Arabidopsis thaliana: one gene and its partners. The protein of the gene in region 1 interacts with the protein of each later gene in a pairwise test. Each region holds a gene or a part of one and is shown in the gene's direction. Other genes may lie near its edges. The genes, in order: AT2G31730, AT2G01818, HMGA and LRL1.

Region 1 (8,000 bases):
GGATTTTTTTTTTACTATATTCTCCATGATTTTTGGTGCAACAGTAATCCTAACTCATTTTGTTTCCGCCATTATTGCTTGTTAATTAGTAGTTGAATTGAATTGGTGCTGTAGGTATATGATGGCAAGTGATGGGATAAAAAAGCGTGATACTGTCCACGAGGTATTATTACTAGATATACCCAATTAATCACTTAATAAAACTGTTATTTGTTGTCTCTTCTATTTCTCGCCTTTCACAAATATGATCATCGTTTCCTTTATTGATCTCCGTGATTAGACTTTTATCCACCACTATTTTAGCAAATTTTAATACTACTGATTGGTTAGAATACGTAGTTATGGGGATCTTTTTTGTTTCTTACTATTCATTTCGATTTGTAGGTTACATCTCCTATGACTGGGAAAGTGGTTGTTGAAGATGTGGTTTATGAAAGCGCTCCTAGTAATTTAGAAGACTTGTCTACTTCTAGTGATTTGGCATTTCGACGACTTGTATTCAAAAGGACTGAGGGTTTGATACAGTCTGAAGCTTTGCTTGTAGAGGATGGTGAGATTCTTGAACAGTCTCAGAAAGAAAAAACTAAAAATGTTTCCCAATCGAAGCGAAAGGGAAATAAAAAGCAAAACCAAGGTAAAAATCGTACTTCTGTAAGTGTTTTGATACATTTCAGGTGAAAAGTTTCATGATCTTTTTTACATGTATCCATTTCAGAACCGAGCAGGCCTCTTATGAGGGTCTCTCATGATTATCTGGCTAGCTCTTACCACACTGGAATTATTTCTGGATTCACATTGGTATCTTCCTACTTGAAGAAGGCTGAGTCATGCGGAACGATGGTGAGCATTATTAAGTTGTGGCCTCACGGTGCAACCGATCTGAATCTTTTCTTTGCCTTGTACTGATCCAGAAATGTTCTGATGCTTTTCAGGTTAAGACTGTTGTAATTGGTCTTGGAGCAGGATTACTTCCCATGTTCCTCCATGGATGCTTGCCATTTTTCAGTATTGAGGTAATTTCAGTTTAAAGGATTAATCAAGTTGAGTATTTTCTATTGCCACTCATATTCTGTATCCTGTTGAATAGGCGGTTGAGCTTGACCCAGTAATGCTTAGTGTTGGCAAGGATTACTTTGGTTTCACACAAAATGATCGCTTGAAGGTAAAATTCTCCCTCTTTACAACAAAAGTGCTGGCTAAACTTTAACATGTTTATATTCTATTCTATTATATGCACCATCACTCAGCTCGTTCGCATTCTTATAATAGGTGCATATTGCTGATGGGATCAAATTCATTAGAGATATAACAAACTCTGAAGCTTCGTCTGAGGAATCGTCAAACATTGGCTCAAATGGAGATTCAACCACTCACAATACACAAGGTGGAATTTGTCCTGACATTTTAATTATAGATGTGGATTCAGCAGATTCAAGGTAAAAGACATGGCAAGTAAATTCACATATCTATGAATTTACCCACATGGTAAGCCTGATTGTTTTCTTGTTTGATCTCTTGTCTGCAGCGGCGGATTAACCTGCCCTGCATCTGATTTTATCGAAGAGACATTTCTTCTTTCGGTTAAGCAAGCTCTCCCTCAGCACGGTCTTTTCATAGTGAATTTGGTCACGAGATCACAGTCCGTCAAAGATATGGTAGTATCAAGAATGAAAAAGGTAAAGCAAATGTGATTCATTCCTTGTAAATTCTCTGCATATTTTCACAAATCTGATCTGATACTATTGCACGGAAATTGAGTCATAGAATTGATCTCTATTGTTTTGTTTTTTGCCAAGGTTTTCGATCATTTATTTGGCCTGCAACTAGAAGAGGAAGATGACGTAAACGTAGTGCTCTTTGGGCTTTGCTCTGAATCTGTAATCAGCGAGAACGATATTCCAGAATCTGCAGTTATACTGGAGGGATTGCTCAAGTGCCAGAGATTGGAAACGAAGCAAAGCATCATAGACGCTACAAAGAAGCTGAAATGCTGGAAATAAAAACATTCTTTATTATTTCGTTTTAAAAAGACGTGTGAGATATATTTCTGTTATAAGTTAAGATTGAAATTTTTGAGACTATATTATATACAATACACCTAGTTTCGTCCATACGCAAATGGAAAATGAAGCGTGGAGTTTTTTTCATAACCTTTATGATTGTTAGACCTACCAACTTATTGAAGCATTCAATTTGGATGATAGTGAAGTTGGAATGTAAGTTAAACATCAATGTCTTGATTAATTTTGTGCATTTTTGGGAACTATCCGTATTGTTTCTGATTTGAGTGATCTTCCTTATTGTTGCTAAGAAATGCTCGAATGGTGATTAGCATAATTGCTGTTTATTCATTGGAGCTATAATAATTATGGTTGTAATATTGTAATTTGGGAAAGAAAGCCTTTGATACAGGCCGATTTTGGTACGTACGTAAGAGAGATATAAATTGAAACACCTAAACCAAAATCTGGTCGCCGCGAAGACAAAAGAAAAACATTTGTGGCAAAGAAACAAATTCAGAAACCGCGTGGGTCCGATATGGAACGCTGATCAATTGGACATTTGTAAACATTTCAAATATTTTGCATGTAATCAATATTGTTGTTATATTTTTTGCCTTTTAGTTATAGTTAGGTTTGTTTTTTCTGTTTGTTTGGTTAGATTCAACTATTTGTTTATGCTTTTCAATTTTGGGTTAGTATTTAGCTGTTTACTTTGGAGAAACAAAAGAAGATAGATTCTGTTCCATATAAACAAAAAGCTGTGTCGTTGAAACTTGAAAATGTGAATATACTCGGATATCAACCAAAGGGTACGCTGCATTAACCAACCTCCCTCGTAGAAAATTTCAAAGAAAGGATAACAAAACAAGAAAAAGCACAAAGTTGAAAAAGAAGTGACAGATGCAGAAGAATTGGTCAAAATCATTTTGACAAAACTACATAAAAAACAATCAAATGTCACTTTCAAAATTATTAGCTTATTTATTATTTTATTATGAAAATAATGAAAGCGACTTCTATCTGGGACTGGTAAAAGGACCTCTCTCACCATTGGTTGTACATTAGCTGTCAAATTTTTACATTTCCATTACATTCCCTAACTCCAAATATATACACTAAACTAAATTCTTCAAGTTACTTCCTAATTACTACTATAGTAATTATTTCCTAACCGTCAAATAGTACTGAATAACACATATAATATAGTTTCGATTGATTAAGAGATTTGAATTAAACAGAATAAAGTTTTACGATTATATATTCTAACAATTTATTTGTCTCACAAAAAAATCTATAGATTTAATGAGAATTAAATGAAGAGGACGAAAGGAAAAACAAAATGAAGAAAAAGACATATGAAACGTAGTCCCCTCTTTTCTTTGCTTTCTTCTCTACATAAAACTAAAACTCCTCTCTTTCACGACCCTTTAAGTAACGACGCCGTTTTCATCCAAACACAAACCTCTGGAATCGTGTCACCGTTGGAGCTCCGGCTTCATTAATGGCTTTCTTCAAGACCTGAAGACAAAAGAAAGTAAAAATATATATACACTAGAGAGACCAAGATCCTCGTTTATGGGTTTCATCGTGTCTTGTGCTTAGGGTGACATAAATACCCATTTAGAGAGCTTAGACCAAGAAGTTTTAGAGTTTGTGAAGTTACTTGTTGGTTAGTCTGCTGTTTCTGGCAAATGCTGAGTCTCTTCTCTCTGTAAGTTCTTTTTTCTTCATTTACTCTGTTTTGTTCCCCATTTTTGGTCTTTTTGACTTAACTTAGAGTATTTTAAGGCAAAATAAAATCATGAATCTTTTGGTATTTTTTGTTCTCATCTTCTTGTGGGGTTTTTCTATTGAAGTTTGCTTAGCTTTGAATCTTGTCTAATGGAGCTAACTCGATCCAAAATAAAAACACGTATAATGATTAACTAGTTCTGCTCATTAGATGAACTAAATTAATGAGTTAATTCCGTAGTTTCATGCATCCTACAATGTATTGTCTATGTATGGAAGCAAAGTATGATATCATATTTAAACATCTATGATTGTGCTACTAAACTTTAAATAATACTTTAAGCTGATGTGATCTTATATGGATAACCTCTGACCATTATCTACTTTCTTTGACCATTGCTCTTGTTTTCTAATCCAAAAGTCGTATCTTCCAATGCATTAGTTGGTCCAAACCTAGATTTGCATCCCTTAATTTGTAGTAGTTAACATCTAATTTTGATGTTAAAACCAAGACACCACTTTGTTTGTCTGGTCTGAGAATATCTCAAGGCGTATAGTTTTGTCCTTATGACGCTTGCAAAAGCAAGTTGTTGAGTTGTAATCTTATGTTTTTTTCTGCAACTTGCCTTGGATGAAGCCATGAGATTATCTTTATAAATGGTAGCAAGTAAACCGGTTTCTTATGTCGAAAAACCGATCATTTTTGTTTTGTTTGATGACAAGGAATGGAATACTCTAGAGACTCGGCAGAGATGATGATGGAGACTAAGCGCAATGTCTACTCGCTTGAAGATAACAAAATTAAACGACACAAGTCATCTGATCTCTCTTTCTCTTCCAAGGTCTTGTGATACATCAAAATCAAAATTCATTGTGGCTATGAAGCTACCGGACATTTCTGTACCAGCATGCTAATGATCTTGAAACTTTGTTGTTCTGTGGTTTAAACAGGAGAGGAAAGACAAATTAGCAGAACGTATTTCAGCTCTTCAACAACTAGTTTCCCCTTACGGAAAGGTACTACTTGGTCCGAAATAATCTTTCTTACACGCTCTTTGTCTTCTCTAGCCATGTTCAAGTCTCTATCTATGCAGACCGACACTGCATCAGTTCTTCTAGAGGGAATGCAATACATTCAGTTTCTTCAAGAACAAGTCAAGGTCTGCTCAAGTTTTCTAATCAAATACTTTTCATTCATTCACCTCCTCCAATCCAATGATGATTATGCTTGATTTTCTCTGTTCAGGTTCTAAGTGCTCCTTATCTGCAAGCAACCCCTTCTACTACAGAGGTGAGCTGAATCTATGATCTGGATCTCGTTTACTTGGATCACAATGCAAGACTGATATTTTCCATCTCTGTAACTAGGAGGAAGTGGAAGAGTACAGCTTAAGAAGTAAAGGGCTATGTCTTGTTCCATTGGAGTATACATCAGAAGTTGCTCAAACCAATGGTGCTGATATTTGGGCTCCTGTGAAGACTCCAACATCTTCTCATGCTTTTAATCTCTCGTCTTCTAATTCGCCCTTTCAATGAGCTGCTGCTAAATTCTCTGTCTCAAGACTAATGAAAATTAGCCAAAGCTTTGGTCTGATCATGTATTGATGGAGAGACCTTGAAGTCGGTGATGGCTGTTTCTGTTATTTTTTACTGCTTAATCCCAACTCTGTGGTGGCTTCTTGTAACAATTGATTCTAATGCGAAGTTTAACGGACCGGTCAATGACCGGAATTAGCTTCCTGTTTAATAAAGTTTGAATTGGTGAAAAAGAGTTAACCGGTTTAGAGAAACCCGGGAAACTTAACCCGACCCAAAATTGTCAAACCCGTTTTGTTTGCGGCTATTGAAGGATCTTCTATTGAAGAGAGCAGCTAGCTAAAACCCTAAAGCCCTAAAATCAAAATTACGCTAAACAGAGAAGGCGACAATGGATCACATCGCTGCGGCGGAAGAGCAAATCGTATCGGAGAGACTTCGAAGAAAGCTTGAAGAAGTTAATGTAGCTGCTCAGACTCAGCTTTCTCCTATCCAAGATCACATCAATTTCACCCTTCAGGTATATACAAAAATCTGTACTTTTCGCGAGCTCAGCATAAATTCTCTCTGATATAACAATTTAGCAATGTTAGCTTCTGAATATGGAATCTTTATTGGTTTGATACAATGCTAGTTTCAAATTTGATGAATTGAGTAGGTTCATGAAAAAAGTCTGAAAATTTGCATTTGGGTTCGTACTATATTCGTCTTTAGACACTATGGATTAGGTTCACGACAATTGCTCTGGTTTAATTACTATATTGTGCTCTGTAGGATATTCGATAAGTAGGCGTGTCTCGTTGCATAACAATTGCTCTGCTTTGTCTTCAGAAGCATGAGAGTTATTAACACCTTCTCTTGTGTTTTTGGGTTGCTATATTGAGTTATATGATCCGTTGATTCAAATTAATTAAACCCTGACAACGATATCATTGTTGCAGCAAGCTTATTTCAAATGTGCATATGAGTGCTTTGATAGAAGAAGAAAGCAAGAGGAGATAAGTAACTGCGTCGAGCACTGCAGTGTTCCCGTTGTCAAATCTCAACAGTATTTCGAGAACGAAATGGCTCAATTTCAGGTAAAGATATCTGCTAAAAGATGATACATAGTTTGCTGTGTATAAAGACTGATTTTTGTTGAATGAATGTATAGGAAAGATTGAACAGATCACTGGTGGTGTGTCAAGACAAGTTTGAGGCCTCAAAGCTCCAGAAGATAAGGCCTGAAGCGGTTAACGAGATGGAGAGTTGTGTGCACAAATCCATTGAGGAAAATCTCAATACATTACCACATATTGTGCAGAGAATGAAGACAGCATTTAACATAACCAACTAAAAGCTCTCGTGAAAAACCTTGGATTCCAGAACTTGACTAGCCATATTGTTTGAAAAGACCTTTTCTTTTGTCTTAATATGATCTACAAATTTGTTTTCCTTTTTCTTATATTAAGTTTTAAAATTTGCCACTGTTTTGGAATAACTGTATTTGCTTGTTCTTCATCTTCCCTAGCGAAAACTTTAAAACTCTATAAAAAAAAATTGAGGATAAATACATGAATTTAAAGATTGAACCGAACAAAAGAGACTAACCAATAGAATAGAAGCAAGTAATTTAGTGAATATCTAAAACTAATATAAAAATATATAGAGATTATCACTAACAAAAAAAAATAAAAAATAATAGAGAGTTATATATACCTTTGTTCGTTTGTGAAAGGAATTGACAATCAGAATCATATAAAAGCAAGACTATAAACTCCTCTCTGCCGCTTAACTCTTTCTTCTTGTCTCTCTATTTTTTATAACAATGGTGAGAGGAGATGATCAACTTAATGGTTTGCAGGGAGGGAAGAGAGCGTTAGATATTTTATGTGTAGCGACGGAGAGAACGGTTAGCGCTTTTGCATATGAGGAAATAGGAGAAACATCCACTGAAGGTGATAAAAGGAGGGAGAGACTGAGAAGACTGAGAAGATTAATTAATTACAGTCTGAGCACAACTATGAATTCCAGCTTGAGCAAACGACTGAAGATTGATGAGTGCAAGAATCAAGACCCGGAACAAAACCCTAATCGTGTTGCTTCTTCTCCAAGTTCGTGCCATCTAGAGTCCAAGAGGCCTCAAAAAGTGGTTTCAAACAAACCGGTAAGAAACAGAAAGCCGGTTATAGTGACAGATGAAGATAGGACACCGACGGAATGGCTGATTGACGTGATGAGAGAAGTGAACGGTATGGATGCAAAGCTGATATTTGTGAAGGTTCTTCCCAATAGTGATGTCGACGAACTTCAGACACGTCTTATGATGCCCTGGAAGCAGATACTAGATATGGACTTCTTAAACGAGGAAGAGTTAGAAAAAATAGATAGACATCACAAAAAGATTAGTGCCAGTGACAAAGGAGCGGATGTGATCGTGGTGAATTCTAAGGGTCTACAGAGGAAGCTTAAGCTCAAGAGATGGGATATGACTTCCACTTCCAACTACGTCTTAGGTTTAGGATGGAACAAGGTCGTCACCGATAACATTCTACAGAGAGGCACTAGGCTTCGGATCTGGTCCTTCCACTCCCCAGACATGCTCTTTTTCGCCTTCGTTCTTTCAGATCCAGATCCAGCTCCGACTGAGTGCCTAAATTTATTGGCTAAATTGTGCGAGGAGACGACTTGTCTCGAGGCTTTACAAGAGGCAAATAGGATGAGCTCACTCGTCTCGGACACAGAGCTGGA
Region 2 (8,395 bases), about 13 Mb from region 1:
TCTTTGGTTAGTTTGAGTTCGCTTACTACTGTGAATTTAACTAATAATTATCTTCAAGGACCGACTCCGTTGTTTGGCAAATCCGTTGGTGTTGATATAGTCAACAACATGAATAGCTTTTGTACTAATGTAGCTGGTGAGGCTTGTGATCCTCGTGTGGATACTTTGGTATCTGTAGCTGAATCATTTGGATATCCAGTGAAGCTTGCGGAAAGTTGGAAAGGAAACAATCCTTGTGTTAACTGGGTTGGGATTACTTGTTCTGGAGGTAACATTACGGTTGTTAATATGAGGAAACAGGATCTCTCGGGTACGATTTCTCCGAGTTTAGCTAAGCTTACTTCATTGGAGACTATCAATCTTGCTGATAATAAACTCTCCGGGCATATACCTGATGAGCTTACCACATTGTCTAAGCTTAGGTTACTTGATGTGTCTAACAACGATTTTTATGGAATACCGCCAAAGTTTCGGGATACTGTGACTTTGGTGACTGAAGGGAACGCTAACATGGGGAAGAATGGACCTAACAAAACGAGTGATGCTCCTGGAGCTTCACCAGGAAGTAAACCTTCAGGAGGAAGTGATGGCAGTGAAACTTCTAAGAAATCAAGCAATGTCAAGATTATTGTTCCTGTGGTTGGTGGGGTTGTTGGTGCATTGTGTTTGGTTGGGCTTGGTGTGTGTCTTTATGCGAAGAAAAGGAAGCGACCTGCTAGAGTTCAAAGTCCAAGCAGCAACATGGTTATTCATCCGCATCATTCGGGTGACAACGATGACATTAAACTCACTGTTGCAGCTTCTAGTCTTAACAGTGGTGGAGGAAGTGATAGCTACAGTCACAGCGGAAGTGCAGCGAGTGATATTCACGTTGTTGAAGCTGGGAACTTGGTTATATCGATACAGGTCTTGAGGAATGTGACGAATAACTTCAGCGAAGAGAATATTCTCGGGAGAGGTGGTTTCGGGACAGTTTACAAAGGCGAACTCCACGATGGAACAAAAATAGCTGTGAAGAGAATGGAGTCTTCGGTTGTGAGTGATAAGGGACTTACTGAGTTTAAATCTGAGATCACTGTTCTGACTAAAATGCGTCATCGTCATCTCGTTGCGCTTCTCGGTTACTGCCTTGACGGGAACGAGAGGCTTCTTGTCTACGAGTACATGCCACAGGGGACACTAAGTCAGCATTTGTTCCACTGGAAAGAGGAAGGGCGAAAACCGTTAGACTGGACTAGACGGCTGGCGATTGCATTGGATGTAGCTCGAGGTGTCGAGTATCTGCACACACTTGCGCATCAGAGCTTTATCCATAGGGATCTAAAGCCATCAAACATCCTTCTTGGTGATGATATGCGCGCTAAAGTCTCTGACTTTGGGTTAGTACGTTTAGCCCCTGATGGCAAATACTCCATTGAGACTCGAGTAGCTGGGACTTTCGGATACCTTGCCCCAGAATACGCAGGTTTGTACTTACCCAAATTTTAAAGTCTCTGCCTTTCAATTGATTTGCACTTGCCCAGTGTCAAAGTTTCATACTTTGGCCGTTTTGCACTTAAATTTTCATGCTTTGATCTTATTGCATTTTCCTAAATGTTATAGTTTCATCCTTTGATCGTTTGGCAATTGTTCTATACTCTGATTTTGGCAGTGACGGGAAGAGTGACGACCAAGGTAGACATTTTCAGCCTTGGGGTCATACTTATGGAGCTAATCACTGGTCGTAAAGCCCTAGACGAGACGCAACCCGAAGACAGCGTCCATCTAGTCACATGGTTCCGTCGGGTAGCAGCCAGCAAAGACGAAAATGCCTTCAAAAACGCAATAGACCCAAACATCAGCCTCGACGACGATACCGTAGCCAGTATTGAAAAAGTCTGGGAGCTTGCTGGTCATTGCTGTGCCCGTGAGCCTTACCAAAGACCTGACATGGCTCACATCGTTAACGTCCTTTCTTCACTCACCGTCCAATGGAAACCAACTGAGACCGACCCTGATGACGTCTATGGGATAGACTACGATATGCCGCTTCCGCAGGTGCTTAAGAAATGGCAAGCTTTCGAGGGACTAAGCCAGACCGCGGATGACTCGGGATCTTCGTCTTCGGCTTATGGAAGCAAAGACAATACGCAGACAAGTATCCCAACTCGCCCATCTGGATTTGCTGACTCGTTCACTTCTGTGGATGGACGTTGAAAAAATCAAGATTGCGTAAAACGTTTTAGTAGAAGAAGAAGATGAAGCATTGTGTGATAAATCTCTCTCTCGCTCTCCCTTTTTTTGCTTTTCTCTGAAGCATATTTACTTATGACTTCGTTTTTATCTACTGCAAGCTTTTGGTTAGTGTATTTATCTATCTACTTTGTGTAGTTTTTATGCAAAGATAACAATCTTTGAGTTCTTAAAATTTTAATATTTCGTCAGTAAAATCCAACTCATAAACCGTAAAAGCTGAACCAAACAGTATTTTGAACTCACTGCGGTTTAAGTTATTAACATGTGTTTAGGGGTTTAAGCAAGTAGATTACTATAAGTACACTTTCTATGAGAAATCATTTTGTATTCCAAGCCCACAAGTCCAATAAAGCCATGTGTTTATGGGTTTGGACTTTGGACCATACACCCACTGGAATATCAAAGCAGTCTCCGTATTCATTCAATTTGCTATGAGCCAGTTGGTCCTTCCCTTCTAATGAAATACATGATTTTGGTGTCCCTCATTTTATAAAGCACACTGTCCAATCCAATCTTCATAATATTAAGCATCTACTATTTAGGTTCACTGATCATATGATATAAAATCTAAACATCAAAGGTGACACCAATAATTGGAACTAAGTTAGGCAAACTTAACCGTTTACATGTAAGGAACCAATTATCACTTATAAACCATTCACAGCTTTTGATGTAGTTAAAAAAGATTAGATATGAGCTCCAATATAATGCAGATTCAACAACAAAAACAATACTAGAGTTATATACTCATATGTCACTAATTATTTTAGATATATATTGATAAGTTTGTATAATTATTAACTTATAATATTGATGTGATCATACATTTAATACATAATTTTAAAAATATATATTATTTTATTATCTTATGGATTTGTATTCAATATTACACTAGATTAATTCAAGAACAAAAAATAAAGTTAGGGTTAAGACATCATTGAGTCACCATGCCAAGTGGTATGTTCATTTTTGTTGTATTTCTTCTAATCTTTCATCCAGTGCTACTATCAGCATAGATCAACAACGTTGAGACGAAAAATCTGTATTAAAACGTGCAAGATAAATTGAACAAACACATATTATTTCCACGTTTTAATAATCATCGCAAGTTTTTGCAAATGGTATGTATTCAACTAAATCATATTTCTAAAACGTAAAAACGTGAAAACCCGCATACGTATTATCTCGAATAGGGAAAACTTTCTGTCATATGTTGTATCGAAGATGGAATGCCATAGAAACATCTACCTAAACTTATAATTTCAATTTTATATAATCTATAAATGCTACTATGCTCATTATCAAAATACTTTACTATTACTTTCTGGTTTTAATATTCATCTTAACGATTTTCAAGTGATATACTTTTTTTTTAATTTATAAATTATGAGCAAATGATAAGATATTTTTTAGGATACTTTCAACTAAATCTGTAACAAATTTCACCAATCTATTTAAATTTCAATTGTCTATGTATGCGAACATCAAGCAATAATCTAGTCTCTCCATAAGTATAGTATGTATGTGCTGGATTTGAATTTGCCTAAGATATTATTATGTGCACTTTGGAACGGTTATTTTTGACATCAAATATTCCTATCTATGTATATGTAGAAAATGATATAATTCTAAATTTGATAAGTTGTTTCCTTGGAAATTTCGGAGTAAATATAGGAAGCTTTGCTTACCTTTATCGCACCATCTAAATTATAAAGACTTAACTTTTTGCCCCTCAAAGTCAAATTATGTCCACTCATTTTTAATTATTACAATTTGCATATTAATGACCTAATTAGTGGATTTCATTCGTATTAAAAACATACTTATCGATTTATCTAGAGACAAAACAGTAATTTAAAAGTTACACATGCTTCATATTCCCGCCTGGTATCCATTTTAGGTATTAAAGAGTCACAGTTATTGTTGACTCTGTGGACTTTTGATTTTTCCCTCATTTTTAATATTAATTGTCATTTAGTTTCCTTTTTTTTAATTTATTATTCTCCACAAAACACAATATGTAATTAATTGAAACATTCCTAATATCATTTCTTTAATATTTCGTTTGCCTTCTTCTACTATTTTTATTCACACTACAAATCAAATCACATCTCTCTTCTTCTTTTTGCTTTTGGCCTTCTTCTTCTTCTTCTTCTCCTCCAAGAACACTAAAATATTTTTGGATGATTTTGATCGGAGAAATATAAAATCTTCTCATCTGATCTATCAAAGGAACTCAGTTTCTCATACCAAAATGAATCTGGTACATGCTCATTTTTTCTTATTAATTTCTGCAGTGTTAGTTTTTGTTGTTGTTGTTGTTGAAAACAAATCCCTTCAATTCAAGTTCATAGTTTCAATATAAATTAGAAACAAGAAAATTTCTGCAAAATTTATAGTTATGATTTCTTCATATAGCCCATTTATAAATTCTTTATAAATTTCAATAAAAAGTAAAATTTCTGCAGATTCCATATCCTTCAAAAATGTAGTTTTATTTTTTTTTTCTTTTCCTAATTGTAAACTGATCTCTCTAATTCAAGTTTTAAATTTCTTCATATAAAAAAAATAAAGTCAATAAAGTTTCAAATTTGTACAGATTGTTTTTTTCCGGATAATATTCATGTTTTTTTCTTCTTCATAGTAATTCATTATAAATCATAATTAAGTTTATGCAAATCTAAAAAAGTAATAGCAATAATTTTTGTAGAGTGAGAAGAGAAGAAGTGAAGAAGTTTGGATTGAAACACTACTGAACTCAGAGTTCTTTGGGATATGTATGAATCATAAGTATCTTAGAAAGAACGAGAAGAATGTGTTTTGCATTGATTGTAATGTGGAAATATGCAGACATTGTTGTAACACAGTTACAGATTCTCATTTCCTCCATCGTCGTCTTCAGATCTGCAAATACGTTTACCAAGATGTTATTCGTCTCCTCGAAATCCAAAACTACTTCGACTGTTCCGAGATTCAGGTTTTTTTTTTCTTTAAATATCTAAATCATTCAATAATTAATAAAATAATCATTTGAATTCTTGTTTTAGAGTTCCAAATTAATGTTTTTAATTTTGGTATTGGTTGGCAATAATTTATGTATGGGGGAAAAAGACATATAAAATAAATGGAGAGAAGGCAATACATTTGAATTCAAGGCCACAAGCAAAAGATGCAAGACCTTCAACAAAAGCCAAGAATGGTGCTTCATGTGTGACTTGTAAAAGATATATTCAGGATCATCCTAATCTTTTTTGCTCTATCTCCTGCAAGGTAATTTATGGTATCTTTTGTTAAAGTTTATATTTCCCTTTGAATTGTGTTGATTAGTCTATTGGTAGTCATCTACCTTTCTTAATCTTTTATTTATTGGTAGTTATCAAACATATAAAACAATCATTTACAGAATAATCTTGAAATGATAAAAAAAAGTTAGTCTTGAGGCATATAGTTTTGACATAGTATATAGGAAAATTATGAGTGATTTGAATTGTACACATTTTCAACTGTACATTGTCTTGTTCACACTCAAAAATGTGTATAGTTTTGTTTTCGGTTAGAAGATGCGCAAATATTTTTTAAAAGTGTTTCATTTTAATACTTTTCTTAAAAATCATTGTTTTGAAATTACAATATATAATTTCGAAAAACGTAATCTACATTAACAAGTATCATTTAATACAAATTGAAATCACTTAATACATGTGAGTTGTATAAACACGCTTTAAAACGTTAAATTTGCGTATATTGTTTGAAGTCAAATATAAGAATTTGCTTTTGAGTTTAGAGCATGCTCTCTAATAGTTGAAAGACATTTTTTTTAATATATTTTCTTTTTGTAGATTTCAACTCCTTCAAAAAAGCATAAATTTTGTTTTTCTCCAAAACTAGAACAGAGTGTTTTGGAGAAAGAACACTCTACTCAAGAAGGAAGCTTAGAAGAAAAAAAATCGTGCACATCGTCCCTCACTGATGTTTCAGAAGATTCTGAAGTTTTATTGAGTGATTTTTCATTTAGACCACTCTTGAGAATACTCAAGAGAAAAGGAATTTCTCGAAGATCTCCTTTCTATTGATTTTTTTTTTTCTTTGGATTTGTCATCAAAGCCATACATTATGTGTATTTTATCTATGAAAAAGATATTATATCGGCTATCAATATTATTTTAACAAGTTAATAAGTTTTGATGAGAAATAGTGATGTTTTATTTTTTTGCTAATAGGCTAAAAAAATAGTGATACAAAGAAAAATAATAATAGTGATGTGTAATGCGTATGTATGAGTGATTTATTTATTATTCATCATGGAGAAAAGAGAGAGAGATATGGGCCCAAAAAGTTTTTTTGGTTCATGAGAATGAGATTGTGTTGATTCACTGGAACCCACAGTTTTAATGAAATACAATATATAAAAATGAATATTATGCAATATTCTTAACGCTTTTTGGGATGAATTGATAGATACACGTTGTAATGACAAATGATGGTATCATTCGTCGTAGACTGAGGTTCCGAATGCAGGCCGAACGGTATGATGTGGTGCGGTTCGAACAGTAACAAAAATATATATATATATATGTAAATATTTTTGTTATTATTAGAACCGCACTGCATTTTATCCACAGTTAAACCGCACGTTACCATTCGGAGCCAAGTCATAATTTTTCTACGATATTATCATTTGTAAAAATTACATGGTTTGGTAAACTTCTCCATATTTCAATTCCTATTCCTGTATTTTTGCAACATTCTCTTTTTGGTTTATAATAAAAATGAAAAATTATACGATTCAACACTCCATTTAAGTTATTCGGGCTAACGAGTTTACCATTTTATGTAGTAGTTTTTCTTCTTCTTTAAATTAACGACTTTTCAATATGTCAATATGCATTGTTACAAATTGGAGCAATGGCCCGTAGTTGTTATCGTGACTTTTTGGGTGTTTAGCAAATGTGTCATTTTCCGTAAAAAAAGAATAAAGTATCAAGTATATGAGAAAATTCCATGATCATTGGTGTATATCACAAAGACTAAATATAAATCATTCTTTAACAGAAGTATACGAAGATATAGCGTACATTTTAACAAATGAATGAATGATCATGATAATGGGTCTATGGCAACTTGTTTTACATATTTTTCATATCAAACAACTTTATTTTTTCTTTTAAATAGTATTACCTATCATTATCATTTCTTCTATTTATTGTAGATCTTTGAATATACTAATGTTAATATTTCATAACTAAAGAGATAGAACCGAGATTGACAAACAGAAAAATGAAGCACGGAAGCATCACGATTCACGATTATGATACATAATATAGATTTAATTATTATTTTTTTGTGAAAGAATATAAGTTTAACTTGATATTTATGCTATAATTTATAAAATATCTGAAATTGAGGACACCATAAAAGTTTTTTATGTTACTTGTAAATACCACCATAAAAAAATATTATCACACCTAACAAGTATCTAAGTATATACAAATTTGTTTATTTAATTACAAAGCTGAAAATAGGACTGGGCAAAAAATCCGGAACCGAGAACCCGAACCGAAATCGATCTGAAAAATTAGATTCGAAACCGAACCCCAATCCAAAAATTTACCTTATTGGATCCTAAATTCCTCTACCCAAAAAACCGAATCCAAACCCGACCCGAATCCAAAAATACCCGAAAATCTAAATTTTACCCGAAACCCGAAATTTTACCCGAAAATCCGGGTATTTACCTGAAAAATCTGGGTATTTATCCAAAAATTCGGGTATTGGTTCCAATTTAGGCCCAAAAATCTATATCCGAACCGACTCGAATCCGATTAGATCCGAATCGAAACCAAACCGATATTTTAGATTTATCTTATTAGATTCTAAATTTTTCTACCCAAAATACTCGTACCCGATCGGGTTTTACCCGAATCCAACCCGCTTACCCGAATGCCCGCCCCTAGCTGAAAACTCTAATAAAAAGATGAACATATACTTGCTTTTAATATTATGTAATACATAAATTTTTATTTAAAGATATTTTGATGAGAAATTTTCTTAATTGTGTTAGTTAGAAAGAATAAAACATTTTAGAAAACAAGAAAAATAAATATTGACCACCTGGGGCTCACTAGTCAACATGGAGCGTTTATTGGGGCCAGAGACCTTT
Region 3 (7,365 bases), on another chromosome or scaffold:
TTCTCAGTCTCTGCGTTTCTTTCTCGGGGAAAAATAATATCTGAGAAGAAGATTCGAGAGAGAGAGATCTGAACGGTTTTTCGCTTAGTCTCCAATGGGAACGCTACAGTCATGGCGAAGAGCTTACGGAGCCTTAAAAGACACCACCAAAGTCGGCCTTGTCCGAGTCAATAGCGATTACGCCGTACGCTCCTTTCGATTTCGATTTGCTTTGATTTTTTCAGCATTTCGATCGAATAGTTTTATATATCTTAGACCACCGAAGGTGAATCACTCATAGATTCGAGTTTTGATCTTCTAATTTACAGGAATTAGATGTTGCCATAGTGAAGGCTACTAACCATGTCGAGTGTCCTCCCAAAGATCGTCATCTCAGGAGTAAGTGATTGCTTCTCACTTGTTTTTTTGCAGAGTTTTTAGATTTGTATTTGTTTATTGTTTTTCTAAATATCTTATTCTCTGTGAATTGTTACAGAAATTTTCCTCGCAACGTCAGCGATTAGGCCTCGAGCAGATGTTGCTTACTGCATTCATGCTCTCTCCCGACGATTACACAAAACCAGAAATTGGACGGTAATTGATTTGCTCTTTCTCGGATTATGATCTGAATCTTTTAGGGAAGATAGTGATTATAGTAATTTGCAGCGTTTAGTATGATTAGATGTGTTCACTTTCATCCTCTGTATGTTTTAGGGTGTGAAATTCTGAGGATCGATTCAGTCATTGTTTCAAATTGGTGTAGATAGCTTTGGTTAGGTTTCTCATTCTTTCTGTTGGCTATTTTATTGTGTGTTTTGCTTCAACAGGTTGCATTAAAAGCACTGCTAGTTATACACCGGCTTCTGAGGGATGGTGATCCGACATTTAGAGAGGAGCTATTGAATTTTTCGCAAAAAGGACGCATTATGCAAATTTCTAATTTCAAGGATGACTCTAGCCCAGTCGGTGAGTCCTTACTGCTACATTCACGGGTCTATGTGTTTTTAGAAGCAAATGAGGTTCATTCAAGGTTTCTGCATAGAGTTATTGTTGATATGGTATTTGCTTTATGCTTGCTTACAGCATGGGATTGTTCAGGGTGGGTACGCACTTATGCGTTGTTTCTTGAGGAACGGCTTGAATGCTTCAGGGTTCTGAAATATGACATCGAGGCTGAACGTCTTCCAAAAGTTTCCCCAGGGCAGGAGAAGGTATCAAATTTGCGTTTTACTTGGTTTTCTGGCCTTATATTATCTCCTTTCCTTCCTGAGGGTATTCGATTTTGGAAATGAACAGGGGTATAGCAAAACAAGGGATTTAGATGGTGAAAAACTCTTGGAACAGTTGCCAGCTTTACAACAGCTTCTGCATCGTCTCATTGGTTGTAAGGTGCTTCTTTGATGTCATTTCCCGAGTCGTGCACTATGTTTTGTAAATCCCGTATTATTTTCTATTAAGTTGGAGAAGCTTTTCCTGACGTATGAACTGACTTTGCTCTTTCGACTTTTTCAGCCAGAAGGTGCTGCTAAGCACAATCATATCATTCAATATGCACTCTCCCTGGTACATTAAACTAAACTCGGGGGCATAATTTACATATATCCGCTAGTTCTTAGTGTTGTGTCAAATATATACTATCTGGAAAGAACAGCTTGATTTAAGCTCTGAGATCTTATTGTAAATTGTGTATGCAGGTATTGAAGGAGAGTTTTAAAGTGTATTGTGCCATCAATGAAGGAATTATCAATCTAGTAGAGAAGGTAGGCCAGTTTTTTCTTTTCCCCCAGAGTTACTCTCTCCCTTCATGTGTTTTTTGATTTCTTACTGTTTTATACATGCATATATTGCAGTTCTTTGAAATGCCAAGACATGAGGCCATCAAGGCCCTTGAAATATACAAGCGTGCGGGTTTGCAGGTAATGTTGTTGGGTTATTTTCTCTGTTAGATCAATTTAGATTTCACTTAACAAGGGTTAGTTTATCAATGCAGGCTGGCAACCTTTCTGCCTTCTATGAAGTATGCAAAGGATTAGAACTTGCAAGGAATTTCCAGTTTCCTGTTTTAAGAGAGGTATCAGATAATAACTTGTTTGTTACATTTAAATTTGTGATGGCAGGTACTTTATCAATACTAAATAAGTCTATTTTTGTTTTTTTCAAGCCTCCACAATCTTTTCTTACAACAATGGAGGAATATATGAGAGACGCACCTCAGATGGTCGACGTCACATCTGGGCCACTGGTACATATATACTCTCATTGTGGTCCTACTCCTACAGAAACCATGATTTTTCTTTTATAACTTATTTCTAAAAACTTTGTCAACATACAGCTTCTGACCTATACGCCTGATGATGGTCTTACTTCTGAAGATGTTGGACCTTCACATGAAGAACATGAAACATCATCGCCTTCAGATAGTGCCGTTGTTCCCTCTGAAGAAACGCAACTTTCTTCCCAGTCTCCTCCTTCAGTAGAAACTCCACAGAACTTCATTGATACTGATGATCTATTGGTAAATTATGCTTATTACATATGGTCTTGATTTCTTTATTCTGTCATTGTTATCCTTTTGTCTCTGATTCTCTCAGTATTACACACAGGGTCTGCATGATGATACACCTGATCCGTTAGCAATCCTGGACCAAAATGCACTAGCTTTGGCCTTAGTTTCCAATGATGGTGAGCTTCTTGGTCTATGTACTGGAGCTCTAAGTTTGCCTTTCTTGCTTGTCTTTAGTCGCAATTCTGGTTATGTTTCTGTTTCCAGTTGATTCTTCGCCGTTTAGTTTTGGGCAAGCAAGAGATTTGGATCCGTCAGGATGGGAGCTTGCGTTGGTCACAACACCTAGCAATGATATATCTGCAGCCACAGAGAGACAGCTGGTAAGATGTATTCTTGTATTAGTGATAATGGGATGCATCAATTACGTACCATTGTCCTGTTAACGTATGTCACCTCTGGGGAATTGATTTTGTGGCTTCTGAATCATTAACATTTTTTTCTGCAACAAATGCAAGGCGGGTGGATTAGACACGCTCACCCTGAACAGTCTATATGACGATGGAGCCTTGAGAGCAGCCCAACAGCCTGCCTATGGCGTCCCAGCTTCCAATCCGTTTGAGGTCCAAGACCTGTTTGCATTTTCAGACAGTGTTTCACCGCCTTCAGCCGTAAACAACCCATTCGGTCTCTATGAGCCAACCTATCATCAACAAGAGCAGCAGCCACAGCTACAGGTTGCACCCAGCCCTGCAAATCCTTTTGGTGATTTTGGGGAGTTTCCAATAGTTCCGGTTTCAGAACCACAAAGCACCACCAGTTTTGGGGCATTTCCAGTACCGGTTTCAGAGCCGTCAAACACCACCGGCTTTGGGGAGATTCCAGTAGTCCCGGTTACAGAACCGCCAAACACCACCGCGTTTGGGGAATTTCCAGTGGTGCCGGTTTCAGAACCACAAAACATCACTGGGTTTGGGGCATTACCAGTAACCCCGGCTTCAGAACCATCAAACACCACCGGTTTTGGGGAATTTCCAGTAGTGTCGGTTTCAGCACCACAAAACACCACTGGGTTTGGGGCATTACCAGTAATCCCGGTATCAGAACCGTCAAAGACCACCGGTTTGGGGGAATTTCCAGTAGTCCCGGTTTCAGAACCGCAAAACACCACGGGTTTTGGGGAGTTCCCGGTAAACGCAGGTGCTCATGAGCAACATAACAGCAACAACCCCTTCGGCAGCACGGGCTTCTTGTGATCCCATCTTCGTATATTTCTCAAAATGCTTTATTTGTCTCATATGATTCTATTGTTTGTGAGTAGTAATAAAATCACATCATCTTCTAGTCTTGCAAATCTTGTTCTGCTAATAGAGAAAGACTCCTCGGGATTGATTATATAAATGAATTTTCATTGGTGGAAAAAAAATGAAAGATATATATAACTCATTGTGTTACATTAACAAAATAATTTGAAATATGATTAGCAAAAACGCTACGTAGTATGTCGTTTTCTGTTCTAGTAATCCAGCTAGGCTGAACCAATGGCCATTCGTTGAATAAAAAAGGAAGATTGGAGGAGAATTAGGTAATTTAAGGGTAATAGTCAGCAGAAGTCATTCCCATATGTCCACGTCAGTAATCCTGCTCGAGAAAGCTGCTATAAACTCAGAGCCGTTGGATCAACCCGTAAGTTTGAAAACCCCAACCGTCAGATCAACACTACAAGTTAATATGAGAATAATGAGAAAACCACTTTCCCAAATTGCTTTTTAAAATCCCTCCTCACACAGATTCCTTCCTTCATCACCTCACACACTCTCTACGCTTGACATGGCCTTCGATCTCCACCATGGCTCAGCTTCAGATACGCATTCATCAGAACTTCCGTCGTTTTCTCTCCCACCTTATCCTCAGGTGAAGTACACCCCTAAAATCTCTCAATCTCTCTCAATTTAGTTTCTGAAATTTTGGTTGAAATTTGTGTTTAGATGATAATGGAAGCGATTGAGTCCTTGAACGATAAGAACGGCTGCAACAAAACGACGATTGCTAAGCACATCGAGTCGACTCAACAAACTCTACCGCCGTCACACATGACGCTGCTCAGCTACCATCTCAACCAGATGAAGAAAACCGGTCAGCTAATCATGGTGAAGAACAATTATATGAAACCAGATCCAGATGCTCCTCCTAAGCGTGGTCGTGGCCGTCCTCCGAAGCAGAAGACTCAGGCCGAATCTGACGCCGCTGCTGCTGCTGTTGTTGCTGCCACCGTCGTCTCTACAGATCCGCCTAGATCTCGTGGCCGTCCACCGAAGCCGAAAGATCCATCGGAGCCTCCCCAGGAGAAGGTCATTACCGGATCTGGAAGGCCACGAGGACGACCACCGAAGAGACCGAGAACAGATTCGGAGACGGTTGCTGCGCCGGAACCGGCAGCTCAGGCGACAGGTGAGCGTAGGGGACGTGGGAGACCTCCGAAGGTGAAGCCGACGGTGGTTGCTCCGGTTGGGTGCTGAATTAATCGGTACTTATGCAATTTCGGAATCTTTAGTTACTGAAAAATGGAATCTCTTAGAGAGTAAGAGAGTGCTTTAATTTAGCTTAATTAGATTTATTTGGATTTCTTTCAGTATTTGGATTGTAAACTTTAGAATTTGTGTGTGTGTTGTTGCTTAGTCCTGAGATAAGATATAACATTAGCGACTGTGTATTATTATTATTACTGCATTGTGTTATGTGAAACTTTGTTCTCTTGTTGAACAATTATTGCTGCTTTGATTTCATTTTCACACTTAATAATGAGGGGAAAACTATGTAATTGGTAATGCTAAACATTCATTATTGTCACTAATTTAATTATGCTACAGTTAGCAGAAGAAAGAATCACTGTGGAATCAGCGCGGGAGTTGAAAATTTCAAAGGGAATTCAATTAGAAAAATCTGTGAAGCGAATGTGTGTAATCATTATCAATAGGGATTGAAATAGAAACTGTGAACAGAGTATGGAAGCTTTTTGGCATCCCCGTGAACAAAAAGGACAAAACCTTGTTTTCGTAAAGATTTTAGAGTGGGCCACTAATAGACAAACTTTGGGGTCATAGTCAGATGTTCTAATCATCTCACGGGTTTCAGTTCCCCTTAGACATGATGGCCAAAATTCATCCATATCATATCCAAATTCATCAAAGAAAAAAAAAAAAAAAAAAAAACCAGGTTCATGTATCAAATTTACTCATCAAAACCATGTATAATTATCTTCATTACTCATATAGCACACACCATATAAACACATATGACATATATTAATATTAATACAATCAAACATAGATTAATGTATAATTTGAACACCCAAACTCAGAGTTCTAACTCGGTTTCAAAGCCTCGAATACACATTATAAACTAAGCACACAACTTAACACATATATATATACAAGTGTTTTTATAACTTTAGGAATTTCAAGACCTAGCTTAGTTAGTTAGGCTCCATTGTTGGCGTAGGTATTAACGAGAGCGAGCGCATTACTCGTGAACCTCTTGACGTCGGCGACTCTATCGCAAATAGCCGTCTTCGTCTCTCCGTCTTCCATCTCCTCCGTGACCCCATCCGTACACGTCTCCTCGTCCGTCAACGCCGCGCTCATCCACGTCTGCACGTTACTCATCTGAAACCTAAACGCCGGATCTCCGGGACGACGGTGGTTCATCTCTCGGAGCTGCCTTAGGGAGCCACGCATCTGATCCACGGCATCTCCCACGTTCGAAACGCAGTCGTGGACAGCAGCTGAGGCAGCGCGACGTGAGAGTTTGGAGAGGTAAGCCGCCGTGTATTTTGCGCGGGAGAGAGAAACGCCGATTGCGAGTTTAGCTAGCCTTGCCGGATTATCTTGGACGGCGGAGGCGTATCCAGCTAGAGACGTGTAACATACGTCTGGATACAGCGTTGTGTTGCAGCTCGTACGGATGAAATCTAGATCATCGGTTGTTGGTTGTTCCGGAGGGAAACGGACGGCTGAGATTGTCCGGCAAATGAAGAGTAGGGTGACTAAGTAGAGAACCGTCGTCGTATAAAGCTGCCTCCCCATTTTAAGCTTTAAGTTTTTTACTCTGTTTATTTCTTCTTTGTTTCGAGTTAACATGTGAGATTGGAGGGTTTATGTAGACATTGAGTAATGGAGAAATGTGACATGTTTGCCCATTCATGCTCATTATAATCACATTATGGCCACTAATCATTTTGTCGGGTGTATTTTATCCATAGTTGGTGTGAAAAGGAAGGCTTGGTAGATTCACTATCTTAGCCGTACCTTAAAAGGAACTGCATTCTTTATGGTTATCTATCCCATATATATTTAAATTTTATAAGAAAATATGTTCATAACATATCAACGGTTAAAAAAATATCCATAACACTTCATTTTTATAACTATATTTTGTATGCACTTTTGTTTATAAATGTCGAGTATGAACACAAATGTTGAACTAGGTATGGGTCGCAAGTGAGATTTTGGGTGGACATTACTCCTCAGTTGCAATATCGACCACGAAAGGATCGTACGGTGAATACTATGATGGGACTCACCAAGTTATGGATGGAGTATGTGGAGATTCGCCTACAATCAATAATTCTGCTAAATAAAAGTAAATTATCCGAGAAGAAAATATCTGCACGCGTGATTATTAACATTGTACTAATAGTTTTCTCAAAATGCTCCAACTCATTGAATAACAATGTCTTTTTTTTCCTCTTTCTAAATAGACACCTTTTTTAGATTTTACTCATTTTTAGTGTTGAATCTGTTATATCAAGATTCAAGAGACAAATATATGACTCGAATTGTTTGAATTTTTGAACTTACTTTGTAGAACTAGGAACCCTAGAG
Region 4 (9,230 bases), 3.2 Mb from region 1:
ATGATATTACTAAAGTTATCAAAAAAAATTGTAAAAATTATAAACCAATAAAACCTCCTAACTGAAGTTAACTTATCTTCCAATATTGTTTATCTTTCTAACAAACCTTTAATATAACTATGGTTTGATTTTGTTCATAAAAATATTGATATAACAATTTAACAATGATTATGGGTTGTTATACTCTTTTTTTCTGTTTTAAGATGGGTTGTTCTGCTTTCTTAATTGCCGTAGAGAATGTGCACATTCTATCGAAAGAACCGTGAAAGTTTGAGGCTTCTAATGTAACATTCTATTGATTAAATTAAAGACCATTAATTGACCAAATTGTGACTTGTGAGTTGTGAGTGACACAAAACTGTAACATTCTATCGATTAACCGAAAATAAAATTTTATCATTTTGAAACCTATAACTCGGAGAGTGGAAAGTGAACACGCCAACACAAGACGTGTCCATTTAGATTGTTGGATATAACTTGTAAAGCTCGATATGCATGTATACGTATTTATATGCGTAATATGCAATACACACATGCACATACGTAGACATACATGAACGTAGATGAGCCTATATATGTTTGTTTAATCGTTAAATTTTTGAAAGAATTCTGACTTGGGAATATTATTTCAATGAACTTATTCCATGGTACGAACCACTACATACATATATGCATGAATGTGCATTATAACATGAGAAGATACATGCACACAGTCACACATATATGATTTTTATAAGTATGCTTTCACGAATTTTGTTGTCTATAACTATAATTAAGAAAATAGCTATGAATTGAGATAACTTTTCAAAAAGAATATTTTAACAAGAAATCAAAAAATATTTTATGATAATGAGACGTAACTCCCGTAAGCATTTATTATGATTTATTTTATTATTAGAAAACTTTATTGTGAAAAAATGCAATTATATAAAAAAAATATAATGAATAGAGAGATTTTGTTTCATTAAAATGTGTTCATGTTAGCAATTAATGGAAAAGAGGAAAACAATATTTCTGACTACAAAATACAGACCTCGAAACCTTAAATGTATTAGTTAATGAATCCAAATGAAGAAGTGTCAAACATCCGGACACAAAAATTAAGTTTGCAAATATTTTAATGTTATTATTTATCCCAAAAAGAGTATATGGTGAATGTGGCACAATCTAAAGAAATACCAAATTTTCAGCTACATATAAAAATAAAAAAAAAGAAGAATAATAACTATCTATTTATAAAGAAAAAGCTCCACGTCGTACGTGATTAGCTCAAAAGATAAGTTATCATATTGATAGGGAATTTCATTTTAAAAAGTTATTATCATATTTTGTAATTATTAATTTACGAGTATCGTCTTTGGGATAGGATGTTTGTGATCTTGGGGGCATAGAAAAAAACAGTAGAATTTCGAGAGCTCTAGCATCATTGATGAATGTACCTGCTCGAGTTTATAATTTTAGACCATTGTCAATTATCATCGTGAAAAGATTATTAAAACATGAATGTAATATTTCATTCTCGGATTGTATTAATAAATATATAATATGTTTCATTTTATGAGTAATTTTGTACTATACATAATTCAGTTAATGATCAATTGCGGAAAATTCTAAATTTTTATATAATGAGAAACTTATTTACAATTTTAAAACTTATTTAACATTCGTATATATGAGTTGAACAAATGCACCATGTGTGTGTGAACAAATTTGCAGTACCATGTAAAACTAATTAGCTTACCAAGATGGACTACAAGTGTTTTTGGTCGGGCTAGAAGTAAATGGGTTGGAAACTGGTCATAGATATGGGTAAACGACCAGCGGCTGTGCTCTTTTAACCATCTCCTAAATTACTTTAATCCAAAGCCAATATTTTTTGATCATTCTCATTAAAATGGTTGGTTTTCCAGTGAATTTTGAAGTTAAGGTATATCTGTAGATAGTCAAGTAGCTAGATTAATCATTGGGTAACACTTAGGTGGTCCGAGACCATTTTGGGTAGCTCCAATGTACATCTCTTGAATTCCATCGATCCAAAGGGTCGTTTGGTTTCATCATTCTCCTTAAAATGATGTACTCTCTGAAAAGAAAAAAAATAGGTTAACGTCGTTAGGTCGAATGGATTTTTCAATGGGTAAGTAAGTATTTTTGATTTTGGTATGGTTCGGATAAATTCACGTTTATCCGGCTAAATGGCTCGAACATTTTGAATTCCACCCAAATGGTTAATCAACTTCTTAGGAAAACCTTTTGAGTGAATATCCAAGCCTCTATTTAATCGATCAGATCTAGGATTGGACAAGGATATCCTCCTTGTATTTGGTTTTTGGTGGGACTAATTAGGTAACTCCTTGGTCCATGTAAAATTTTTAGAAGCCACAATTGAAACGTAAGAAAGGCACTAATAATCACGGGCATGCCATCATCACCCATATACAGTATAATATTTATATAAGATTTTTTACACATATTAACAAAACACAAAAATCTCATTTAAATTATTTCCTTTCTATAAAAACATTATTAATTACACCTAATTTAATTAATAAAAAATATGTAACAAAATATAATTGATCAAAAATATTAAATATATTTAATTTTTGTATAGAAAAATGAAAACAACATTTATTTTACAACAACAAAACAAATCATTAAACTACATGAAAACACAAAAATAATAAAATTGCTAAACAATAAATGTTATCTAAGAAAACTATAATTGTATACAAAAGCTAGCTATTACACTTAGCACCATATAAATAAACTTCTTATCCATCAATGTTTAATATATATTTGTATAGTAAAATAAAACTAGTTTGCATCTGAAAAAGTATAATCAAATAAAACTCTTTAGATAGCAATATGTACATTAAAAAAAGACTTATTTTCATACGTATTAAGCTGTAAAAAATAATGATTAAGATTTGGGGTAAAGAGAAACCAAAGTTTAAGACGGAAACGAAACAAAAGATGATAATCATCGATTCATCATCACGATATAATATGGGTTGCTAACCACAATAGAAAAACAAAAGTTCTTTTAAGGTTTTAATAATATATCACCAAAAATGATAATTAAAACCTAAAATTAAAATAATATATCTACAAGACTACAACAATTCTGCTTTATAATAAAGCTATAAACCTCAACATTTTTCAACCTCTTCCCAAAAAAAAGTGTAGAAGCAGAAGAAACCCATCATCATCATGATGAACTCTTCTCTTCTAACTCCTTCTTCTTCATCTTCTTCCCATATCCAAACTCCATCAACAACTTTCGACCACGAAGACTTCCTCGATCAAATCTTTTCCTCGGCCCCGTGGCCCTCCGTCGTCGATGATGCTCATCCTCTTCCCTCCGATGGCTTCCACGGCCACGATGTCGACTCAAGGAATCAGCCGATCATGATGATGCCTTTGAATGATGGCTCCTCCGTCCACGCTCTTTATAATGGCTTCTCCGTCGCCGGATCTCTTCCTAACTTTCAAATCCCTCAGGTATAATCTCTTTCTCTTTTCTAAGTTTTTCTCTTCTTGAAAACGAGACTTATGGTGAAATATAGGGATCGGGAGGAGGATTGATGAACCAACAAGGACAAACGCAAACGCAAACGCAACCTCAGGCGAGCGCGTCTACAGCTACTGGTGGTACGGTGGCGGCTCCGCCGCAGAGTAGGACTAAAATCCGAGCTAGGAGAGGTCAAGCAACTGATCCTCATAGTATCGCCGAAAGGGTTAGTTGTTTTTGTTTTTTATTTTACTTTGTTCGATGCATTAATTTGTATCAGTTACCGAGAAAGGTGTCGAAATTGAATTTTTTTTAGCTTTTTGAAGAAAAGATTTGAGTATTTTCTGGAAAAAATGTTTTTATGGGACAGTTACGAAGAGAGAGAATTGCGGAAAGAATGAAAGCTCTTCAAGAACTCGTTCCTAACGGCAATAAGGTAAATTTTTATTCAATTCATTTTCAGTTTAGTTTCCAAAAATTAAGATTAGTTAAAATATTAAATGGATCATTATGAAAATAAACTTCACTTTCCATCATTTTATTCATCATCCACTCTTGATTCGTGCGATCCATAATTCCATCTAATTTACAATTTAAACTCCATCGTCTATTTATAGTTCTCATCTTCTAGACCTAAAATTGAAAAAATACAAAATAAATAATGAAAATAAGTGTCGAAATGATCAGGAACTTTCTTGGAGCTAGTTGTTCAAGAGATAGTTTTAGGCTGTCAACTAGAACTTTCAGGAGTTAACAAGTAAATTTATATTTTTTGTTTTACTCATATAATTGGTGGTTGTGTAGTCTATCTATATATAGGAGTAGCTAGTAGTATATATCAATCAAATGATTAAACACTGATTAGCTAATTAATTAATTAGGCTACAATAATAAAGTTAACTAATGCAGTAATAAATGAGTTAGGATCTCAGTTCTGACAGTTTTGTTTTTGTATTTTATTTGTATAATAATGGACAGACAGACAAGGCATCGATGCTCGATGAGATCATAGATTATGTCAAGTTTTTACAACTCCAAGTCAAGGTGAATCTCTCCCTCTCTCTCATATATTTACAGTTATTATTTTATTAAGTTTGTTTTTCATACGTACAAGGGGTAATTCTTTTACAGAGTGCAATTTGTTTTATTTTATTCTCTTCAATATAGATGGAAGATTCGTTTTTTTGCCTTTTAGTTTGACATATTAAACAAAAAGAAAAGCTGACATATTAGTACAATCTTTACATACCAATATATCAAATTTATGGGCCTCTGCAACTAAAATTCCTTATGCTCCCTCCTCAAATTTTATATATACATTCTGGATTATTATGTCATATAAATACATACATGATAAATAATGTTTTTAAGTTATAAATTAGTGGACCAGTGTACTTAATCATTCTGTTTTGAATTTAATTATGCGTTTTAGGTACTGAGCATGAGCAGATTGGGAGGTGCTGCTTCCGTTTCTTCTCAAATCTCCGAGGTAACTAATATATTACTATCTCTACGTACTCATTTTTCATAAATTTCAATAAACATCAAAGCCAATGGACAAAATTAAGAAATTAGACAATCACTTTTCTCTTATAATGTTAATTAGATTTTACAAAATATTATTTTGGTGTGTAAAAATAGATAAATCGTGCAAGACGTTGAAAACAAAATGAATGTAAAAAGTTTCCAGAAACAGAAAACAAATAAGACAAATTTTATAATTCTAAAATAGAGAAATATAAAAGAGAGCACGCGTGCCGACTAATCACTTAGGGTTTCGCTTTCTTTGTCTTTTTGTTTTTCAAAATGTTTTGTTTTATTTTGCTTAGGCTGGTGGATCCCACGGGAACGCATCCTCCGCCATGGTCGGCGGTAGCCAGACGGCCGGAAACTCCAACGACAGCGTTACAATGACGGAACATCAAGTGGCCAAACTAATGGAAGAAGACATGGGCTCGGCCATGCAATATCTTCAAGGGAAAGGTCTTTGTCTCATGCCAATCTCTTTAGCCACCGCCATCTCAACCGCCACGTGTCACTCCCGTAACCCTTTGATCCCTGGAGCTGTTGCCGACGTCGGAGGTCCTTCCCCTCCCAATCTTTCTGGCATGACCATACAGTCGACGAGTACAAAAATGGGTAGCGGTAATGGGAAATTAAACGGTAACGGCGTGACCGAGAGGTCGTCTTCTATCGCCGTTAAAGAGGCCGTATCCGTTTCGAAAGCGTGATAACGGCCGTTTACTTTTGGGGTTAGGCAGAGAGATACCAAAAACAAAGAGAAAGTGGGGTGAAGTGGGAGATAAAGTCAAAGTCTACGAAGAATGAGGTTGAGGTTGTTTGATGTGTTCTCTGAACGAAGCCATATTTTTCGTAGAGTTTTGGTTCTTTTACCTACGCACTACAAAACCATTCAAGGGACATTTCTTTTTCTTTTTTAAATATATGGTTGCAATATGTTTTATTTTTATTAAATAAAGTTGGTATCGTTGATCTGAATATTAGGCTAGAAAAAGAAAAAAATAGTATATTGGTTTTTCACTTAGAGATGGAGTTATAATCTCGTCTCTCAAATCTCAAATATTGAATCCAAGACTTTAGATGTTTATGGATCGCACAAGTCTAAATATTAGGATATGAGTTTGAAGAATATACAAATTCTGTACAAAACAAAGAGGTACGTACGTCTATACATTTTCACTATAGACATCAATCATCATTTAACAATTTTACAGTAGCAGTCTGTTTAAATGGACCTACTCAATACTAAAAAGTCTAAAACATTTTCTTAACTTGACACCATTAACTTTTTATCACAACACACGTCTATCTCAAATCCACACTACAAAATTAATTTTTCTTTTTAAATTACATCTTTGATCTATGAACACAACCTAGAAACCAAAACGTATTCCATCGAGGAAACTCTAGCTCGCTAATTAACAAAACTTGTTTTTTTTCTCTTTTTTTTTTTCCTAAATATTTTGGCTAACCCAAACAAAGCCTGTCTCTTATGTAAAAAATTCATGTCCTCATTCCCTTTTGCCAAACTAGCATATTTCCTACTTTCCATTAGGAAATTATTGCTCTCTATACAACCCAATATTTCAATATATATTTATCATATCTTTGAAATATCCTTATGACTCTCTTTTTGTTTAATGCCTTTCCTCTTGAAAATATCTTCCTAAACACTTTGAGACGTGCATACTCTTTCATATACAGATCGATTTAAAGAAAAATAATCTTAGCAAACGACATTTCCAAATTAAGGGCCTGACTGGTTTAAACACAGCGGATGCGGTTGCGATTGCGGGAGTTTGCGGAAACGGACGGTTGCGGTTTTAAGCGTTATCAAGAGTTTTGAACGACTGGTTGAGCGTTTGATAATGGGTGCGTTTGCGGGGTTTGACTGGTAAACCAGCGGATGCGATAGTAATTAAATAAAAAATAACCAAAATAAATATAATATATTACTATTAAAAGAAATAAAAATACAATATATTATGATAAATTTATAATATTAGAAAATTTGATTTTCTGACCAAATAAAAATACAATATATCATCTCGTCCGACCAAATGATTTCTAATCGAGAAAACAAATCGAAACATGTATTCAATCAAAAAACTCAAAAGAATACAAAATAAAATAAAAACAACGATGCTATGAAATAGTTAAAGAATTACACTAGGTAATGAATGAATAAAAGGATAGATGATACTTATGTTTGATTCTTGATTTTGATTTTCATCGGATGCCATAATTGAGACAATACGATTACAATATATTGATTAAGGTTTTCTAATAAAAATCAGATATATAAAAGATTAGATTATTTTAATTATAGTAATTAGAGTTTGGATGGAAGCCACAATTATTTAATTTAATTAAAAAATGATATTTTTTTTTAACCTAACCGCTACCGCTCGCAACCGCAAACGATTGCGGAAAAGAGTTTTTGAAAAACGGGCGATTTCGAGCGGTCCAAAACGATATCTAACGATTTCTATGATTGGTGTCAATCGCTAACAAGCGTTTGCGGGTGGTAAAGGGAGAACCAATCAAGCCCTAAGTCTAATACATTATTTTTAACTTTGAGTGTTTTCGAGCAGCCTCTCTATTTTCAATTTTCCATTTTTTGAATATCCAGGCGCTACATGTATCGGAAATGCTCCCATTCGATCAAAGCCAATCGCTTTAACCTTGCAATCTATTGCACAAACTTCACAAACTCATACCTTTTCAATCAATCGTTTTGTTTTAGAATTGAACGAACAAGAACACAACACTTTGCGTGTTCCAAATGATCAAAGATACATCTCGCAAAGCTTTGCCTATCAATCCACTATCAAACGTGATCTTTATATTCAAAATCAAAACCCGAATTGTTTAATCAGCTTCACTTGATTTTAACCGGCCAATTCCTTCGGTTAATTTCCCAATTCAATCTCGAACCGAATCCCACCTCTTTCTCAATTCATGTCCCACCTCAAATCTTCTCGTCTACGACACTAGTCTAGGGCAAACTTCACAATCGACACTAACAGTAAATTGCTACAGCGGAAGCGATTCTTCCTTTGTATACTCAATTTCTTTAAAGCTTAATCAAAATCACTCTCTCTTCCTTCAAATTCTCCAGAGACCTTGGGCTCCAAGTTACGGTACGATCATATCTCTTTATGCCAAATGAATCTTCGGGTTTTTTCCCCAATATTTTGTTGCGATTTTACTGTACAATCAATTCAAATGTAAATTAGAATTTTTTTAGCAAATTCGTAGATTGCAGCGTTTTCTGTCTCCATTAGCAAACATGGCAGAACCCAAAACGAAGAAGACATCAACATCATCGATAACCCCAGACTGGTCTGAGCTCCCTGAGGAGCTACTGTATCTTGAAGTATCTAGGGGACAACTGTTTCGATGTTGTTCATGCTCGCTCTGTTTGCAGCTTGTGGCGATCCACATTTCCTTTGTCTCCCTTGTTACGCCCAAGTTACTCTCTTCCCTCGTTCAACGAATTCCCTTCAGAAAGCAAAAACATGTGCACCCTCGAGAAGGTCCATCTCCTGATATTGCTGATGATCAGCTTTCCGATGCTCTTCAATGTTTAGTGAACGTGAAGATCCCAGCATCTATTCCAAAAAAGATCATCCCTTTGGGCCATAAGTACAGAATGATCGGTTGGGAATATAATCGCGCGACTTTTCTTCGGCTAGACAAGGAGGGAAGAAGAGGAGAATTTGTTGTGCTTCTCGAAGTCTCTGACACTTTGCTGGTGTTAACAAGTGCTGAAATGAGGTGGAAGCAGCTTGAGAACGTCCCATATACTATATGCGTTGATATAGTCACTTTTAGAGGCAGATTTTATGCACTTTTTCTTTCAGGACAAATCGTCGTTATCGATCCTTATTCGCTGGAGGTGACTCTTCTGTTGTCCTCACCTCAGGACCCGCGAGAATTACGGTCTCTGGTTCCATATGGCAAAGATGAACTTTTCCTGGTTGAGGTAATCATCCCAAATGATGTTGTAATAGACTTTAGTCGGTTAGCTCGTAGAGTGAGGAGGGTAGATGAGAAGGCTGGTAAATGGGTTGAGGTCGGTGATTTGGGAGACTGTGTATTGTTACTTGGAAATCTCTCTTGCTCGGCTAAGGAATTTCCTCGGGGTTTTGGTTTGACTGAGAACGCAGTTTTGTTCGGCGATCAGTCAGGCAATGCA

The links.
Region 2: the proteins of AT2G31730 (region 1) and AT2G01818 interact in a two-hybrid assay, tested with the Arabidopsis thaliana proteins (one large-scale study listed by BioGRID).
Region 3: the proteins of AT2G31730 (region 1) and HMGA interact in a two-hybrid assay, tested with the Arabidopsis thaliana proteins (one large-scale study listed by BioGRID).
Region 4: the proteins of AT2G31730 (region 1) and LRL1 interact in a two-hybrid assay, tested with the Arabidopsis thaliana proteins (one large-scale study listed by BioGRID).

The regions. Positions count from the first base shown.
Region 1 is NC_003071.7:13,485,053-13,493,052, reverse strand, and holds AT2G31730 (basic helix-loop-helix (bHLH) DNA-binding superfamily protein), read left to right. Parts: upstream 1-3,373; 5' UTR 3,374-3,714; intron 3,715-4,361; exon of another isoform or gene 4,362-4,457; 5' UTR 4,458-4,459; coding exon 4,460-4,576; intron 4,577-4,685; coding exon 4,686-4,751; intron 4,752-4,828; coding exon 4,829-4,894; intron 4,895-4,980; coding exon 4,981-5,025; intron 5,026-5,102; coding exon 5,103-5,270; 3' UTR 5,271-5,503; downstream 5,504-8,000. Other genes in the region: AT2G31740 (S-adenosyl-L-methionine-dependent methyltransferases superfamily protein), read left to right, coding at 115-163, 385-634, 716-840, 933-1,013, 1,088-1,162, 1,270-1,436, 1,526-1,676, 1,797-2,000; AT2G31725 (FAM136A-like protein (DUF842)), read left to right, coding at 5,662-5,790, 6,212-6,349, 6,424-6,606; AT2G31720 (B3 domain protein (DUF313)), read left to right, coding at 7,078-8,000.
Region 2 is NC_003071.7:351,465-359,859, reverse strand, and holds AT2G01818 (PLATZ transcription factor family protein), read left to right. Parts: upstream 1-4,265; 5' UTR 4,266-4,489; coding exon 4,490-4,498; intron 4,499-4,945; coding exon 4,946-5,212; intron 5,213-5,346; coding exon 5,347-5,505; intron 5,506-6,074; coding exon 6,075-6,308; 3' UTR 6,309-6,516; downstream 6,517-8,395. Other genes in the region: AT2G01820 (Leucine-rich repeat protein kinase family protein), read left to right, coding at 1-1,465, 1,652-2,196.
Region 3 is NC_003070.9:5,136,301-5,143,665, reverse strand, and holds HMGA (high mobility group A), read left to right. Parts: upstream 1-4,198; 5' UTR 4,199-4,312; coding exon 4,313-4,396; intron 4,397-4,470; coding exon 4,471-5,001; 3' UTR 5,002-5,550; downstream 5,551-7,365. Other genes in the region: AT1G14910 (ENTH/ANTH/VHS superfamily protein), read left to right, coding at 95-184, 309-378, 476-573, 807-945, 1,063-1,190, 1,276-1,368, 1,492-1,542, 1,674-1,739 and 7 more; AT1G14890 (Plant invertase/pectin methylesterase inhibitor superfamily protein), read right to left, coding at 5,962-6,621. UniProt on the Arabidopsis thaliana protein: Binds A/T-rich DNA with a highly dynamic distribution into the nucleus.
Region 4 is NC_003071.7:10,316,155-10,325,384, reverse strand, and holds LRL1 (LJRHL1-like 1), read left to right. Parts: upstream 1-2,961; 5' UTR 2,962-3,207; coding exon 3,208-3,498; intron 3,499-3,527; exon of another isoform or gene 3,528-3,563; coding exon 3,564-3,734; intron 3,735-3,878; coding exon 3,879-3,944; intron 3,945-4,486; coding exon 4,487-4,552; intron 4,553-4,940; coding exon 4,941-4,997; intron 4,998-5,337; coding exon 5,338-5,739; 3' UTR 5,740-6,172; downstream 6,173-9,230. Other genes in the region: AT2G24255 (LOW protein: F-box/kelch-repeat protein), read left to right, coding at 8,322-9,230.